Rhinolophus ferrumequinum: one gene and its partner. The protein of the gene in region 2 interacts with the protein of the main gene of each other region in a biochemical or structural test. Links are inferred from orthologs where the notes say so. Each region holds a gene or a part of one and is shown on either strand. Other genes may lie near its edges.

What was found.
Region 1: the proteins of SPTBN2 (region 2) and ACTR1A form a complex in vitro, tested with the Homo sapiens proteins (2 studies listed by BioGRID). The link is inferred for Rhinolophus ferrumequinum from reciprocal best matches to the Homo sapiens genes SPTBN2 and ACTR1A.

Annotation. Positions count from the first base shown.
Region 1 is NC_046299.1:22,536,007-22,543,972, forward strand, and holds the start of ACTR1A (alpha-centractin), read left to right. Parts: upstream 1-4,924; 5' UTR 4,925-5,030; coding exon 5,031-5,078; intron 5,079-5,096; exon of another isoform or gene 5,097-5,727; intron 5,728-7,966. Other genes in the region: SUFU (suppressor of fused homolog), read right to left, coding at 3,027-3,208. UniProt on the Homo sapiens protein: Part of the ACTR1A/ACTB filament around which the dynactin complex is built. The dynactin multiprotein complex activates the molecular motor dynein for ultra-processive transport along microtubules.
Region 2 is NC_046294.1:5,299,774-5,306,777, forward strand, and holds the start of SPTBN2 (spectrin beta chain, non-erythrocytic 2), read left to right. Parts: upstream 1-3,946; 5' UTR 3,947-4,082; coding exon 4,083-4,260; intron 4,261-6,380; coding exon 6,381-6,532; intron 6,533-6,973; coding exon 6,974-7,004. UniProt on the Homo sapiens protein: Probably plays an important role in neuronal membrane skeleton.

The sequences.
Region 1 (7,966 bases), on a different chromosome or scaffold from region 2:
AAAAGATGTGTTACGTGTGATCCCAGCAAGCATGCCAGTGCCACACAATTTAAACACTATTTAAAACCAGTAGGTCTGGTTTCATCCTCTTTTGTCAGGATATTATTTGCCTTTGTAGAAATCCTTATTCTCTGCTAGGAAAGCTAAGTTATTTATAGAACATGTAAGAAAGTCACTACAAATAGCTTAGGGACAAATCTCCATATCTTTCTTTAACTTTGATTTTGCAAAATCAATTGACTAATCCCACAACCAGTCAGATTTAGGGAGGTTTGTCGGGGGAGGGAGGAAAGAAAAGGGTAGCTATCCCTGGAAGTACCCCATGATAGCTGCAGAACCCCAGAATAGATGGAAGTGACGACAGGCTCCATATCTGCTCCAGTTTCCTACTGCAAATTCCCAGTCCTGACCCTCCTCCAGCCTTGGTCCATCCAGCAACAAGTGGGAAAACTGCATTCCCCGTTCTGTGCTTCATCTGCCACACTACTGCAGCCCTCTTTCTGGCCAAGTGTCCCAGGAGGTATTGCATCAAGGAGAGAGGTTTTACCTTAAAACTCCAACTGCAGGGAATAACCAAGAATCAGACAAAATCAATCTAGTCTCCAAGTGCAGAGTGTTCTTCTGTTCTACTTACTCAGAGACAGGATGGGTAGGCCATGAGCATGTAGAAAATAATCGTATTGTGCATTTAGAAAAAAGATGTTATCCAAGGACCCAGAGCATCCCTCAACTTCATACCTTGAACACCTGACTTCACTCCCCAAGGCAGTTGCAGGACTGGAGTGACCGCAAGGTACAGGCTCTGCCCCTCTGCGTCCGCTCCCTGCTCACTACAGTCTTGGCTTTTAGCGTCCTTGCTAGCTAGAGGCCACTAGCCAAAGAGCCACCCTTTTGTCACGAGAAAAGGAATACCAAGGTACCCTGGACCACAGCCAGACTCAGGCAGCCTGGGTCCATCATCCTGCCATGAGAACTGAAGAGGCCTTGTGGTATCTCTAACATGAGGGACATCGATGAATTCATTTCAGGATCTTAATTATGCAAACCCCGCCAAACCTTAGAAAGAACTAGTCACTGAGCTGTTCCCTCATATTTTTCGGCGTCTAGGCAGCATTTCTAATTTCACAGAGTGCTGTAAATCGTCGTTATTTGTCATTACATGTTAGTCCATCTAAAGATAAGTCCTGGCTGGTTAACAAGCTTGCAGCAAGAAGGAAAAAAAACAGTTGCCCAAACCAGTCTTAGTCCTTTGCATGTGCTTCAATACCTTTTCCATACAACACTATCCTCCTGGCCACATGGGTGACATAAAAAGTTGCCCAAGTCTGTCAGTGGATTTCTCCTTACACTCAAATGAGGCCTGAACAAACAGCATGGCAGAACCAGGCCCACTTTCCTCATGACACAATCCAATATAGTTCATCACAATACATATTTAAGTATAGAGGTGCGATTTGAATGGGTGATTAAGTTATCAAGAGCTGTGATTCAGTCAGAAGCTCTCTTCAAAAACTTCTCTCAACCAAAGAACAGTTTGCTTGCCAGAAAGAACTGTATCGCTGGCCACACCTCCTCCTGGCTACCAGACAGAGGCAGGTTGCTCCCCATGGCCTACCTAAGGCGCAGGTGGCAGGTCCCCAGGCCCTTCACACTGTCAGCCTCTTTACATGCTCCCGTCTACACCGGGAGCTAGCTGGCCTAAGTCCTATAGCCTAGCTTCTGCCATCTCCGGAGGAAGTAAGATGTTGTCACGGAGGAGACTCAGTTCTAAAGGGAGAGGTAACCAGCAAGGCATCCACTCTTTGCACTTCCCTCTTTGAGTCTATCTGCCCTTTAGGCCACACCGCAAGCAGCTGCCTGAACAGTCTTCCAGGACTCAATGAAGGGAGTCATCTAATACAGTGCCCGCATGAATGTGGTTCTGGACAGATTCAACCAATTCCTCCGTCAACTTTTGGTTGAGAAAGACCACGAAGACAGACCCTTTCCAACAGTCCCCATAACACCAGTTTTGCCCAAAGGTTGCAGGAAGAAATAGGTTGCAAACAGGAATGAGAAACTGAAAAAGACCATTTCTACTCCAAGGGTAGCCCATCTGTAAACAGGTCTGATCTTTAACAACTACTTGGGGGTTACTCTCAGCTTCTCTCAGAAACTGCTTCCTAAATCCTGAAGCTTGTGGCCAGGAAGCTCCTCAACATCTCACTGCCTTCTTTCCTCCCTGTCCAAGTCCCAGGTCTTCAGCATTTACTGTGGTCCCCTTCCATCCTCAGCCAAATCATGGATCTCCCTGACCCTACCTCTGTTCTAGCCAATGTCTTAAAGCAAAGCAGCTGCAGAGGCAGAGGAAGCTCTGCAGGAAAAAAACTGTGCAGAGTAAGCAGAAAGTTTATCAGGAAAAGTTGTTCCGTGAAACTTCAAACCCCAAAGCACCGCACTGATATGATGTCTGAGTTCATTGGGAAAGTATCAAAAGGAGACCTCCTCATCTCTTCACAAGCATAACGCTCACAACTTGCTCTTCTAAACGGCAGGAGAGCCCGAGTCCACAGACCCACCCCTACCCTGTGCAGTCTCATACCCTCGCAGCTCCTCCAGCCGCGCTCCTCCAAAGCCCTCTCATATGCTCCCCAGGCCCCGCCTCGTCTCCCCCATCCCACTTCAGCTGCCCCCCCTTGGCTTCCCCTCGCCCACTAATGACCCCCTACAGGCGCCCCCTCCTTTCACCACGTCTACAGTTCCCACTCTCCTATCTTTCCCCGCTCAGCTCCTACACACTCCCAATTCACTCTATTCTCCTAATTCCAGTTAACCCTTCAACCTCCCCGCCCTCGTTAACCCTTCGCTACCCACAGGCTCCGTTAACCCCTTTGTCCCCATTTACAACTCCTTCCTTCGCAGCAGGAAGCCCTTCATCCAAGTGCTTTAACCATTCTTCTCCTCCTCCTCCGAATATTACTTCGTCCCTGGTGCTTTAACCCTGCCCAGCCTGCCCAGTTGGTGTCCCCGCGCGGCCCAGGGCATACCAGTACTTGACGATAGCTGTAACCTGGAGCGGGTTCGGCTGGTCAGGGTAAAGACGACGGCACTCTCCGTAGATGGCGTGCAGTCCCGGAGGGAACAGCGAGGCGAAGGCCGGAGGTGCAGTCGGGCCAGGGGCCGGGGGCGCGGTGGGGCCGGGGGCGCCGCTAGGCCGCAGCTCCGCCATCCGGGCGCGTAGGGCGCTGGGAGAACCCGGGAGGGCAGACGAGCGGCAGAGCACTGACGCGCCAGCGGGCGAACCTGGAGGGTGCGACTCCCCTAGGCGATGGGGGCTGCAGCGAGGTCTAGGCTTCGCGCCTGCGCACAGCGCACCGTCCGCCCAGGCCGTCGCCGCGGCAGAGATAGCCAGAGGTTGCCTGGGGGGGCCGCTGGACGCTCAAGGAGGCGGGGCACCGGCGCGCCCTATCCCAGATTCTATTGGCTAATGTCTGTGCCAGTCACACGTGGGACTGCGTGCCTTGACAATAGGTCCCGCCTCCCTCTCCCTGTGTTAGGGGTATCCCAAGGCTCTTGGCCTCCCCCTAGTGTTAGGAGGAGCCCAGGTTTAAATACAGATGTGGAGCCATCCTTTTGAGGTGCTAGGGTCCCACATAAGCACTGGGAAGTGCGCTGACGAAGAGCTTATCACTGGTCGGGTGACACGCTAACAAGGATTTAAACATAAGTTTGACAATAGATTAATTCATTCCTCCATTTGGCACTAGTTTAAATAGATTTAAATCTGAATGTTTCCTACACCTTGGAATGTCCACTAATCGTATTGACTGACACCAACACCACCAAACTCAGGGGTCGTATGTCAAAATACCTATTATGGAATTCTGATGGAAAGTAACAAGAGTTTGGTAAACTAGGATCAATTAAAGAAACTTCGTAATTATTTAATAGATGTTAATGACAATCTCTTCTTTGTTGTGTTTTAGGCAGAGATATGCAGATTGTCTTGAGGAACACCAATGTTCATTATCTACTATGGGCCTGCCATTCTCCATTACTTTGACTCTCTGTAACTGGGAGAATTTTTAATTTCTAAGGCACCGGGTTGGGAATTATTTTCTTGTTTACAATAACTTTTCAAAAAGTAATATCTCCCACTCAATGATCTTGAAGAAATTCCAAAAGACGAATAGAAAGGAGTCCAGGCTACCAGTGCTATTGACTACAAGCATCCCTGCAACTTGAAGCAGCGGAGGAAATAATCTAGAGAAAAATGCACTGAAATCATTTGAAAGCAGTGACTTTTCACCTCCATTTTCTCACTCATCAATGTCAATTCTCTACCAATAATTCCAAATGCCAGTCTTCAGACCAGTGTTAGCCTGTTGCAAAGTTTATACCTATCCAGGAAAAAATGCAAAAAGCAATGAAAATGTGTTGTTATTTTTTTCCTAAAAAGCAAATTTTATGCAATTTATTTCCTTTGTTCTGGGAATATGTCCTTCCCCGTATGTGTGTGTATTAAAATTTATTTTATTAGAGTGTGGTGGCCATAGATGTTTATTAATATCTTATGGATCCAGATAAAAACATGGTAGCCTTAATATTGTCCAGAAGTGGTGCGGAGTGGCAGAACTGATCTGTAAAATCCGAACATCTACGAATTACTGATCAATCCAAAGCGAACTACAGACAAGTACTTCAGCATGCACTGCGAATCCCTCCAAAGGGATCCCTACAGATCCAAGCTTGCAATACAACCATCAATCTGAATCCCCGTGTATTTATCTATGGAAACTACAAAGCCCAGGGTACTGTGCGTCGGAAACGCAACACCGGGTAATGGGTCTCTTAAATTAGGCGGGGCTCCGAAACTGCCTTGCCCTCTAACTGCAGGTGCAAGACATCGTGGGGGTTGTAGTTCTTCCGAGGCGAGGTCTGGCCGCTCCCTGGCCGCCCTGCATCAGCGGCTAGACTGCGCATGCGCGTCAGTGGCGCTAGCTGCGGACCCGGCAGGCAGTTCCTTCCTCAGAAGGAGAGATTCCTCTGCCATGGAGTCCTACGATGTGATCGCCAACCAGCCTGTTGTGATCGACAACGTGAGTTTCGTCTTCCATTTCTCTAAAGGGACTCATGCTCTCCTCCCCGAAGGGATCGCTTCCCGGCTTTCAAGCCTGCGCCGCCGGCTCTTTGTCACTGGTCTGGCCTGTCAGGCGGGTTCAACCGCCGCTACCTCCGTCCTTCCTCCACCCATAGACCGCACGCAGGGCGGCCGGCCAGCAACCATGGGATAGAGAACTTGGGAGTGGATTAAGGGAACAGCTGTAGTCCGAGCCGGGTCCTTGGGCCCTTGACTCTTAGGGGCCTTAACCGCTCTGTGAGCGCCCGGCACCCGCCCCTCCCCAGTTTCCGATAACTCTATTGGCTGTTCTGGCTGTCCATCTTGACCGATGACCCCGCCTCTGAGCCTTGCCTGATGAGGGCTGCCCTCTGCAGTGATTGGCTTGCGCCCTTGCCGTTCTTCCGGGCCGTCAAAGCGTTTCTCTTTAAGGGGCGGGGCAGTGCACGAGGACTGTGGGGATTGGCTGTCGGAACTCTCAGTGGTAGGGCCTGATGGGCTAGGGCCGGTCCGCGGGTGGAGAAGGGCTAAGTTTCCTTTGGTCTGGAGCTGGCCGGGTTGCTTGGCGGTGTATCTGGGTGGGGCCCAAGAATGTGGTGTCAGAAATGGCCATCAGATTTCAGTTATTTCTGTGATTGTAAATTATAGCGTTAATAAAGTTCGAGAAGAAGGGAGAGTGACAAAGCAAGCAGGGAGGTACCTTCCTCTTTGGAACGCCTAGTTACTGGGGGGGAAATTTTACCTACATAGTGTTTGCCAGGCTCTCTAGCGCTTATGGAGGGCTTTCACATACTCGTAACCTTCAAGTTGGATCCTCACAAAAACTGGGTACATAGTTAAGGCAGGACGTTTGATGCTCGTTTTACAAATGAGAAAACGAGCGCGAAGAGGTTTCAAACAAGGTCGCACTAAATCCAGTGCTTTATCCGTTATTCCATTCCCCCACGCCAAGCATCAATAGTGATAAATGAAAAGAATCTAAATATTGCTCTTATTTTGCGCGGAAGGAGACAATCGTAAAACAACTGCATTTCTTTCCTCCAAAGGTTTGATCCCACCAAAATTGGTTGATACCTTTTCTGTACCCCTTCTAAATCTCTCCATTGAGGCAAAACTGCCCGTTCCCTCTCTCCTAAGATGACTGTCAGATTTGCTCTGTTGATCCAGCCCTCTTGGACCTTAGGTAAATTGCAAGGTCTTTTCATTTGCATCATCTCTTTTAAGCTCCAGCTCTGGTAGGTAGATGGGAATCATTATCCTCAGTTTATGCAGGAAAGTGAGGCTTGGAGAGGTTAAATAACAGTATTCGAACTACCAGGTTTGTGAGTTGAGGAGCCAAGACTCAAATCGAGATCAGGTTCCAAGTTCCTAACTTTTTTCAAAAAAGGGTGCTTTTTTTTATTGTTAGCTTTCCCTCTCTTCAGGAGTATGGCTTCTGCCTTGAAAAGCAAGAAGTTGAGTTCAATGAGACAAATCATTTTGGAGAGGATTTTGTTTGTTTGTTTGTTTCACTCACTAGACTATTAAATCCTTGTGGGAAAAGATGGTATCCCTTTATTTTTTAATACTTTCCCCTTTCCCACCTCCTTCCACACACCAGAGTACCTATGTTCAGGCATCACTGAGTACTCAGTGTTTTTTCATTGCATTGATGGGTAGGTGGATGAATGACTAAATATCTCTATCACAGTAACAATGATGTCCCTAAATAAAGGATGGGGTGGGGCAGCCTAGTTAGTTACTGCACAGGGTTGAGTAGGACTCCTTGTTCTTGACGTTGATTTTTCAGAAACCACTATTTCTGTCTTCAGCTTGTTTGTGTGTGCTGCATCTGCCTTCTTCATAATTTGAAAAAGAAATTAGCTCCTTTTTTTCATCAGCCATGAAGAAGCAGTGTGTCCATCCCACCAAATCTGCTTCTTGAATTATTGGGCAGAAGTTCAATCTCCCCCTCATTTTCTTTAATATCACTTAGGCTAATGCTTCTTAGTTTCTCCTTTCCCTTTCTTGGTAATGTATTTGAAATTCATTAAGGTAGTGGTGCATTTTCATTGTTAAGGTTTAAAGAATCAACTTGTTTTTTTTCTCTAGGAAAGCATTTCCTTTATTATGCCAATAATTCTGCCAATCGGTGAAGTAGGAGAAACTTAAGTAATTGTCCCATTAGGGTTTACTGAGCATCTGCCACATTTTTATATTTGGGGCCTTCGGTAGTTCTTGCTGTTTGCCATTTAGAGAGTTTGTTTCAAAGTGAAAGGTGGATAAGAAAAATCATTTTAAATATTTGAGGCAATTATATATTGTGAGAATAATGTATCTTAGCAGGTTTAACATCTCCATAGGTTAACATATGGCTACAATTTTGTTTCTGGGCTAAGAAGAGTGTAATTAAAATAAAGGAGAACAAAGAAAGCAGGGAAGAGAGGGAAGAGCCTCGTTATTGAGTTCACAATCTTTCCCAGTATTAAGACAATTGTTGACCACTCCTTTCATCCTATTCTGGCACCAAACCAATTCATCAGAATTTAATGAGAAAAATGGAGGGGAGTGAGGGGGCGGTGTACTTGCCTGTGTTTTAATGACAATAGAGTGATTTTTAAAAACTAAACATAAGTTATTCTTTCCAAAGGCATACAACACAATACAACACAACACGATAATACAAGAGGAGGACAGCTCCGGGAGGACATTTTGTGGACCACCACACTTTGATTAGATTACTATGTTTATTCTAAAGCTCAGGTCTTTGCTAAGATCTCAAAGGTTAAGTTCTGTCCTAAAATGGATCAACATACTTAAAACTGTCTATCTTAAAAGTCTTTGTGACTATGTGAGCCTAAATGCAAGCACAGTATCAGATCTTTACAA
Region 2 (7,004 bases):
ATTTACAGAGCAAATTCAAAGAATCTGTTGGGGACTAAGGGAAATGATGGATTTTAAACAGAAAGTAGTCTTGGGCCTCGTGGAAATTAAGCTCTCTTTCCTGTTACAGGAGTGAAAGCTTAAATCAGGGAACCTGAGACCTTAGCTCTCTTGTACGTCATCCATGCTACCTCCAGGGAAGTCCTTACGTGTTTCTCTTTGGGAGAAGGGAGGGGCAGGCAATCCTGGCCTTCACGTGGGTCAGATTCAGCTTCGTGGAACCAGTTAATGACAGAAGCCAAGTTCTGTCTTTGCATGCCCATGGGAACGCACTTTCCTAACCACCCACAGCTCACCACCCATTCCTTCTTCCTTCCCCAAAACTACACAAGAGCTTCTCTGTACCTCCTTCCCAGAACCAGAGATGCCAAGATCATAGCCCTGACCCTAGGAAGTGGAGCTAAGGATGAAAATATATCTTTGTGTTTGAGAGGTACTAGGAAAATGAGAAATGCAGAATTTGGGGTGCAGATAAAGTTACAGATCCAGCTCCCTCCATTCCCTTGGATGGCTGCTGAATGAATGCTAAATTACACAAGAACTTCGGACAGTAGAGGTTTTTTTTGTTGTTGTTGTTGTTTTTAAATCCTTAGCAGCTAATCTAAAGCTCATTTGTGAGTTTTGAGGACAGAGTTTGTTTGCGTAACTAGAGTCGTAAGTAACGCTGGCAAGCGTACCTGGTCCTGATTTCCAAAACTTGGTCCCTAGAAGGGAGCCATGGGTGCTGATCTCTCCCCAGGGAGCTTAAAGGGACTCCAGGAAGTTCGAGGAGGGGGTAAATGTTGTGATTAAGAGCTTGTCCCCCAAAGTCAGAAAGAACCTCACTTCAAAACCCTGCTCTGCTCCTTCCAGCCACGTGACCTTGAACTGTGACTAAACTTACACGGTGCCGCTTCCTCATCTATGAAATGGGGATGATAGTGGACCCTCGCCCCATAGGTTATGATGAGATAATGCATGTAAATGGTGAGGACACATGTCACCGCTGACCTTTATTGAACACCTATTAAGTAGTCCCTATGACAAACGAAAGGAAGCAAAGGGGAGAGAATCGCACTGTGTCCTCCTCTGAGCTCCTGGGCACCGTATCCGTACATACCTAACAGCGCATCCGTCTTCCTGGTGTATCAGAGATGCGTGTTAGCTCTGCAGGATCTCGGCCTTTTCATCTCAAGTCTCCAGGGTATAGCAGGCCATCTGGTATAGAGGAGGGGCTCAGAACAGTTTGTGGAAGCTAGGAATAAAATAACTCTGGTTTATACTCATTACTAACCAAGGGGCCCCATGCTTCCTGCATTCCCTGGTTTACACGCTGCTGTCCTGAACTGCACTGGAGGCCACCACCACTTTTAGCCACGGCTCTATTCACTGTTCACGGTTCCTCTCTGCTTGGGACTCTGGGGCTCTGAGGTACTTCGGTCCATGTGCATCCTGTACGTGTGCTTCCCCACCATGGTTTCCCCTCTCCCGCTGGGGGCTGATTTCCATTGACAGAAAAACCAACCACAATCTTTGGCCTTCAGGAGAGCGGAGCAGATCTAGGGTAGGAGGACAGAAGGACATGGCGAGCGGCGGGCTGCGTGGCCCCGAGACGCTCCTTACCTGCTACGTTCCCCCTTACAGGAGGAGGAGGCCACCCACCACCATGAGCAGCACGCTGTCACCCACAGACTTCGACAATTTGGAGATCCAGGGCCAGTACAGTGACATCAACAACCGCTGGGACCTGCCTGACTCAGACTGGGACAATGACAGCAGCTCAGCCCGTCTCTTTGAAAGGTCACGCATTAAGGCCCTGGCAGGTGAGATCAGGGGAGGGCCAGGGTAGGTGGTGAGGACACCGGGGACGGGCCCTAGTTGTGAGGACTCCTTTAACTTTGTCGGAAGACCAACTTTCTTTCTAAGCTGCTGCACTCACGTGGGAAATCACCCTATCCAGCCCCTCATCCCCAACGCCAGCCTCAAGAACAGACTTCATGCAATCCAGAACGTCCCCCGGCTTCCTTCCGCCCAGCATAGAGAAGCCATGCTGATCCCGGGACTCAGCTGTGTTCCCCTCTGCACTCAGCTGACTTCTGGCCTCTGTCCCTGAGTCATGTCCTTCATTCTTTGGCACTCTTACTTTTGCCATTCTGTTTCCACCCACCTTTCCTTTGCCGTTCATCCCCTGTGTCTTCCTCGATTTCCGCTGTCATTTCTCACACTTGTTCTCCCTCCCAGCCCATTAGCCTCTCCTTTCCCTCCCCACCTGTTCCTTCCACCTGCCGCCTGTTCCTCCCATTATTTCTTCTACCTGTTCCCTGAAGCGGGTACCCTCCACCCTCCACTGGTTTCTGCAGCTGCCCATTCTCCGGGGTTTGCTCTCTGCCCGGCCCCTGCCCTCCCCTATGGCCTGGGCTCTCCCCTTCAGCTCCTCTGAGCACAAACAAACCCGTTGGACGGGCCTCCCTGCGTTCCGGGAGGAGTTGTCATGGCAACAAGAGTGCAGCTGCCACCTGACACCACCAGGGCTGGTGTGGGACTGAGTCACTCACACACCCCAAGGCCACCCACTCTATCTGACTACCCTCCTCCATCCCACCCTCGTCTTTTCCACTGACCTGCCGGCCTCCCAGTCCAGTCACTGGGAGAGATCCCACTTATTCCCTCCTGAGAGGTGGCACTCCCAGTGTGGGTGGGGTGGCCTCCTGGAAGAAGGGATACACTGAAGGGGGTAGTTCCCAAACCTGGCCACACTTTTTACAGGATCACCCAGGGCCATTTTTATAAACATGGGCTCTGAAGCCCCTTCCTGGACACGCTGAATTAGAATCTTTGGACACGTGGTCCAGAAATCAGTTGGGTTTTTTAAGTTCACCAGGTAATTCTTTTCAGCCAGCCCACCACATGAGGACCCCCATGTGTTGGCCATAGCTTCTAGGGAACCCTACCGTCTTCTCCTGGGCTTCTCTGTCCTTCTGGTTGGGATTAGGCTGGCTTATGAAATACTCATCATAGATGAGAAAAGACAGAAGGCGTGGGTTATGGAGAATGTCATCTCTTTGGGGGGAAGTTTCCCTGGTGCCCTGAGTTTGGATGCATGTAGCCTCTAGAACTGTCATGATGTCTGTGTGCACACGACACGTAAGACCCAGGACTGCTGCTGTGTCTGTGCGCCCTGCGCTGTCAATAGGTGTTTATCTTCAAGAATGGGGTTCTCTGAAGAGGCATCTCTGTGCTGGCTTTGTCTCATGCTGGGCCTTACACCAGTAGGTGTGAGTGAATGAAAACAGGAGATGGGCAACAGTAGGCTGTAAAGGACAAGAGCTGGAGCCCAGAGAGAAGCAGGAGGGGAATTGGATAGATGTGCCCAGCAGTGGGTGTGCTGGGGGCCTGAGATGGCCTGGCTGGGGAGGGCCTAGTGGGCCCAGTGGCAGGGAAGGGGCGGGCCTGGAGGTGCTGACAAACGGTGGGAGGGATAACAAACACCCATTTCACAGATAAGGGGACCTAAGCAATTTCTCTTTCTCTGCTCTCCGAACTGGGGATCAAAGCCCATGTCCAAAAGAGGGGTCTCCCGGAGTCACCCAGAGAGGAGCCATCCTTGTCGCTCCTGGAAGCCTTTGGGAAGCAGGACTTTGTTTTGGGGAAACCTCTCTTGGCTTTACTGTACTCTTAGGCAACTTAGAGCCTGATGGGCAGGTCTCAGAGGCGCTTGCAGTTGCCTCCTCTGCCCCCGCAGGGCCTGGCCCTGCCCCAGCCGGCCGGGCTCCGCCTCCCACCCCTCCCCCGGCACTGTCCAACCTGTTTGTCTGGAGCTGCCTCTGTCTCCTCTCCACAGCCAGGTGTGCCCTGCTACTTGTCCCGGAGCTCAGGAGCTCAGACGTCCCGTAACTCCTTTTTTCCCACTCCTCGAAACTTCTACCATCTTTGAACCAGCCCCCCACCCGGGACCCCAGCCTCTCAGGATCCCCGGCTCTAGGGGAAGCAGAACCTCCCGCCTGGCCCGGTGTGGGCAGAGCATGGACTCTGGGCCCCAGGCTGTGTAGAAGGCAACAGGTATCATGAATGGGAATGGAGTGAGCAGGGTGCACGGGCACAGCCTGAATGGGGCTGGTGAGTTTTATTATGAGGCTGTGGAAGGGGCTCAGAACCCCGGGGGTCTCCTGCTCTCACCTGCTGCCTTCATCAACCCCGCTCAGTACGCCAGCGTGCTGGATGGACGCTTCAAACAGCTTCAAGGTGAGCTCCGCGGGCAGAGGGGAGTAGAGAGAGGGGGTCTGGGGGTGTGGGAGAGGAGCCAGAGCCAAGATCACAGAGTGGAACATTTGCGTTGGGAGACTGTGTGCCAAGGGAATAGTTATATAAGTAGCCAGAAAATTCATGGATGCTGACAGCATCAGGAAAGGCTTGGACCCACTGGAAGGAACTGTGTGAGAGCGTGAGTGGGTGTGACCGCAAGGCCCTGCTGGGTGCGGTAGAGCGTGTGTGTTGCAGAGAATGCAATGAGCATGGAGGCAGCAGGCAGCGGGCGAGGCTGAGAAAGCAGCGTCTGTGTCGGCAAACCGGGAGGCCTGCCGCGCAGTCTCACTGACATAGTTCACTGTCAGTGGCTTTGGAGAGGAAGGCCTGCTAGGATAGTTGGAGAAGGACAGAAGGGGAGTGAGCCAGGAGGCTGAGGGGCCCAGGGCTTGTTTGTGTCACCCTGGGATTCTGAGTGGGTGTCTAAATGTGTGAGGAGGCAGTATGTGTGGGAACCGGGGAATGTGTCAAAGGGAGTTGGTATAGACAGGCTCAGGTATGTCTGAGCAGGCATGTGTTCACCTGGCACCAATCTGTCAGTGTATTTCTGGGAGTCACTGTGTTTTGCGTGTGTGTTGGGGGAGTCTATGGATGTGTGGAGGCCTTGTGAAGTTATCCTTTGTCTCAGTGCTTGGTTTTGCACACTTGTCTTCTAGCTGCCACTGTTGCCATGTCTTCCCCTTTTATTCTACCTGTGTGCCAAAATGACCTCACCCCCGTGTGCCTGGCATCAATCAGGACAGTCCCCAGGGATCCAGGAAATCCCTGAAAGGAGGCCCAAAGGCACCCTTGGTTCCGCAGGTGCTGCAGAGCAACAGGCCGTCCCGTACAGTTGCTAGGACCCTGAGTTGGCCCGGGTTCAGAGGTTGGAGGTAAAGACAGGACTAGACCTGGGTGTGTCACTATGTTTCGTGGGTGAGGTTCGTAGGAATGTGAGATTAAGGGATGAGTCTTTTCGGTTTCTGAGATGCTGGTGCTACAAAGGAAACAAAAGTGACTCTCCGGGCCCTGACTACTGGGACCGGCTCCTTGCTCTGGGCTCCTCTGGGGAGAACTGGCAGAAATCTTGGTGACCAGAGCAGCGTCCAATGGCCTAAGCCTCTTCCCTCACTTTGTCATTCATAACATTTTTAATTTTTCTTTTCCTCTGGAACCTAAGAGCATCCCTTCAGCAGCGGATCCCCCTGTGGACAAGGCAACAGGACGTTCCCTCATGTTTTTTGAGATGATTGGCACCTAATTCTGCCCCACCCCTACCACACACCCCGTTTCTTGGGCTCACTCTTTTCCCTGTTCCCAACTTCAAGACCTGGTTTTAGTTCTCAGCGTTGGAATGTAGCTGTCCTGGGATGCACCCTGAAGCCCACTGAATGAACCCACCCGAGAAAAGCCCATCTTTTCTATAAATTATCCCGGGAGAATAAGCTGACTCAGGTGGCCTGCAGCCTCTATAATATCGCATCCTTCCATTGGCCACTTGGAAGAGCTGCTGCGTAATTTAAGTCCACACCCTCCCCTTTGGAGAAGAGCCATACCACTGGCTGGGCCTGAGTGACTCTCGCTCTTTCCTTGGGGTTAGATCATACCTGAAGAACAGAAAGCCACCGAGGAGCCATTTCATGCCAGACATTATACACGCATGTCTCATTTAATCAATACAATGACGCACTGAAGAAGAAAGTAATAGGCCCATTTTATAGATGAGGAACGTGAGGTGCTGATGGATGAAGTCACAGCATTTCACCACTATCGTGACAGCACCCTCATCCCAAATCCCAGCCCTTCCTTGCATGTTCCACCGCTTCTAATTTCTTCCATTCTTTCTTCTTAAAACCTGTTTCTCGCTCTCATTTTGTTCTGTACCTTGTTTGTGAGCTTATTCTAAGTTCTCTATTTCCCGGCTTTCTAAGTTAGGCATTTTCCTTTTGGCCATCTTCCTTCCCCCTTCTCCTCCCCAGACCTCACTTCAGACTCTCAGATACCCCCCAACCCCACCAACTGGTGTTCAGATGCAAACACTGTACTTGAAGGACAGAAATAACTCCATGTTGCCACCACAGATGAGCGAGAAGCCGTGCAGAAGAAAACTTTCACCAAGTGGGTGAACTCACACCTGGCCCGGGTGACATGTCGGGTGGGAGACCTGTACAGCGACCTCCGGGATGGACGTAACCTGCTGAGGCTCCTCGAGGTGCTCTCGGGAGAGACACTGGTGAGCTGTGGTCACGAGGAACGGGGTAGCCTGAGGAACAGTGGTCAAGAGGACATGCCACGGGACAGAAGAGTGATACCGCAGAGCGGAAAGCAGCGGCTGCCCCCTGCTCAGAGGACAGTGTCATTTTGAGAGGTTTTGCTGTGGGATTAAACGGGAACATTGCTTCATGGAGACAGGAACAGTAGTCCCATTGAAAACATTTCTTTTCCCACCCACTCTTTGAGCAATTAATTCCCTTGGGAATCTTAATCTGGCCTCAGCCTCCTCTGCAACCTCAGCTTTGGCTCTGTGAACTTGGGCCCAACCCTGGGGCTGTCCCCGTGTTCCTGAGGGAGAGGCTGGGGAAGGTGTGCGAAGCAGGGCCCTGGGGGTGTAGGAGGGAAGGAGGAAGGAGGAGGCCCACGGTCCCATGCCTTTGTGTCCCCTGTCCCCCAACAGCCAAAGCCCACAAAGGGCCGCATGCGTATAC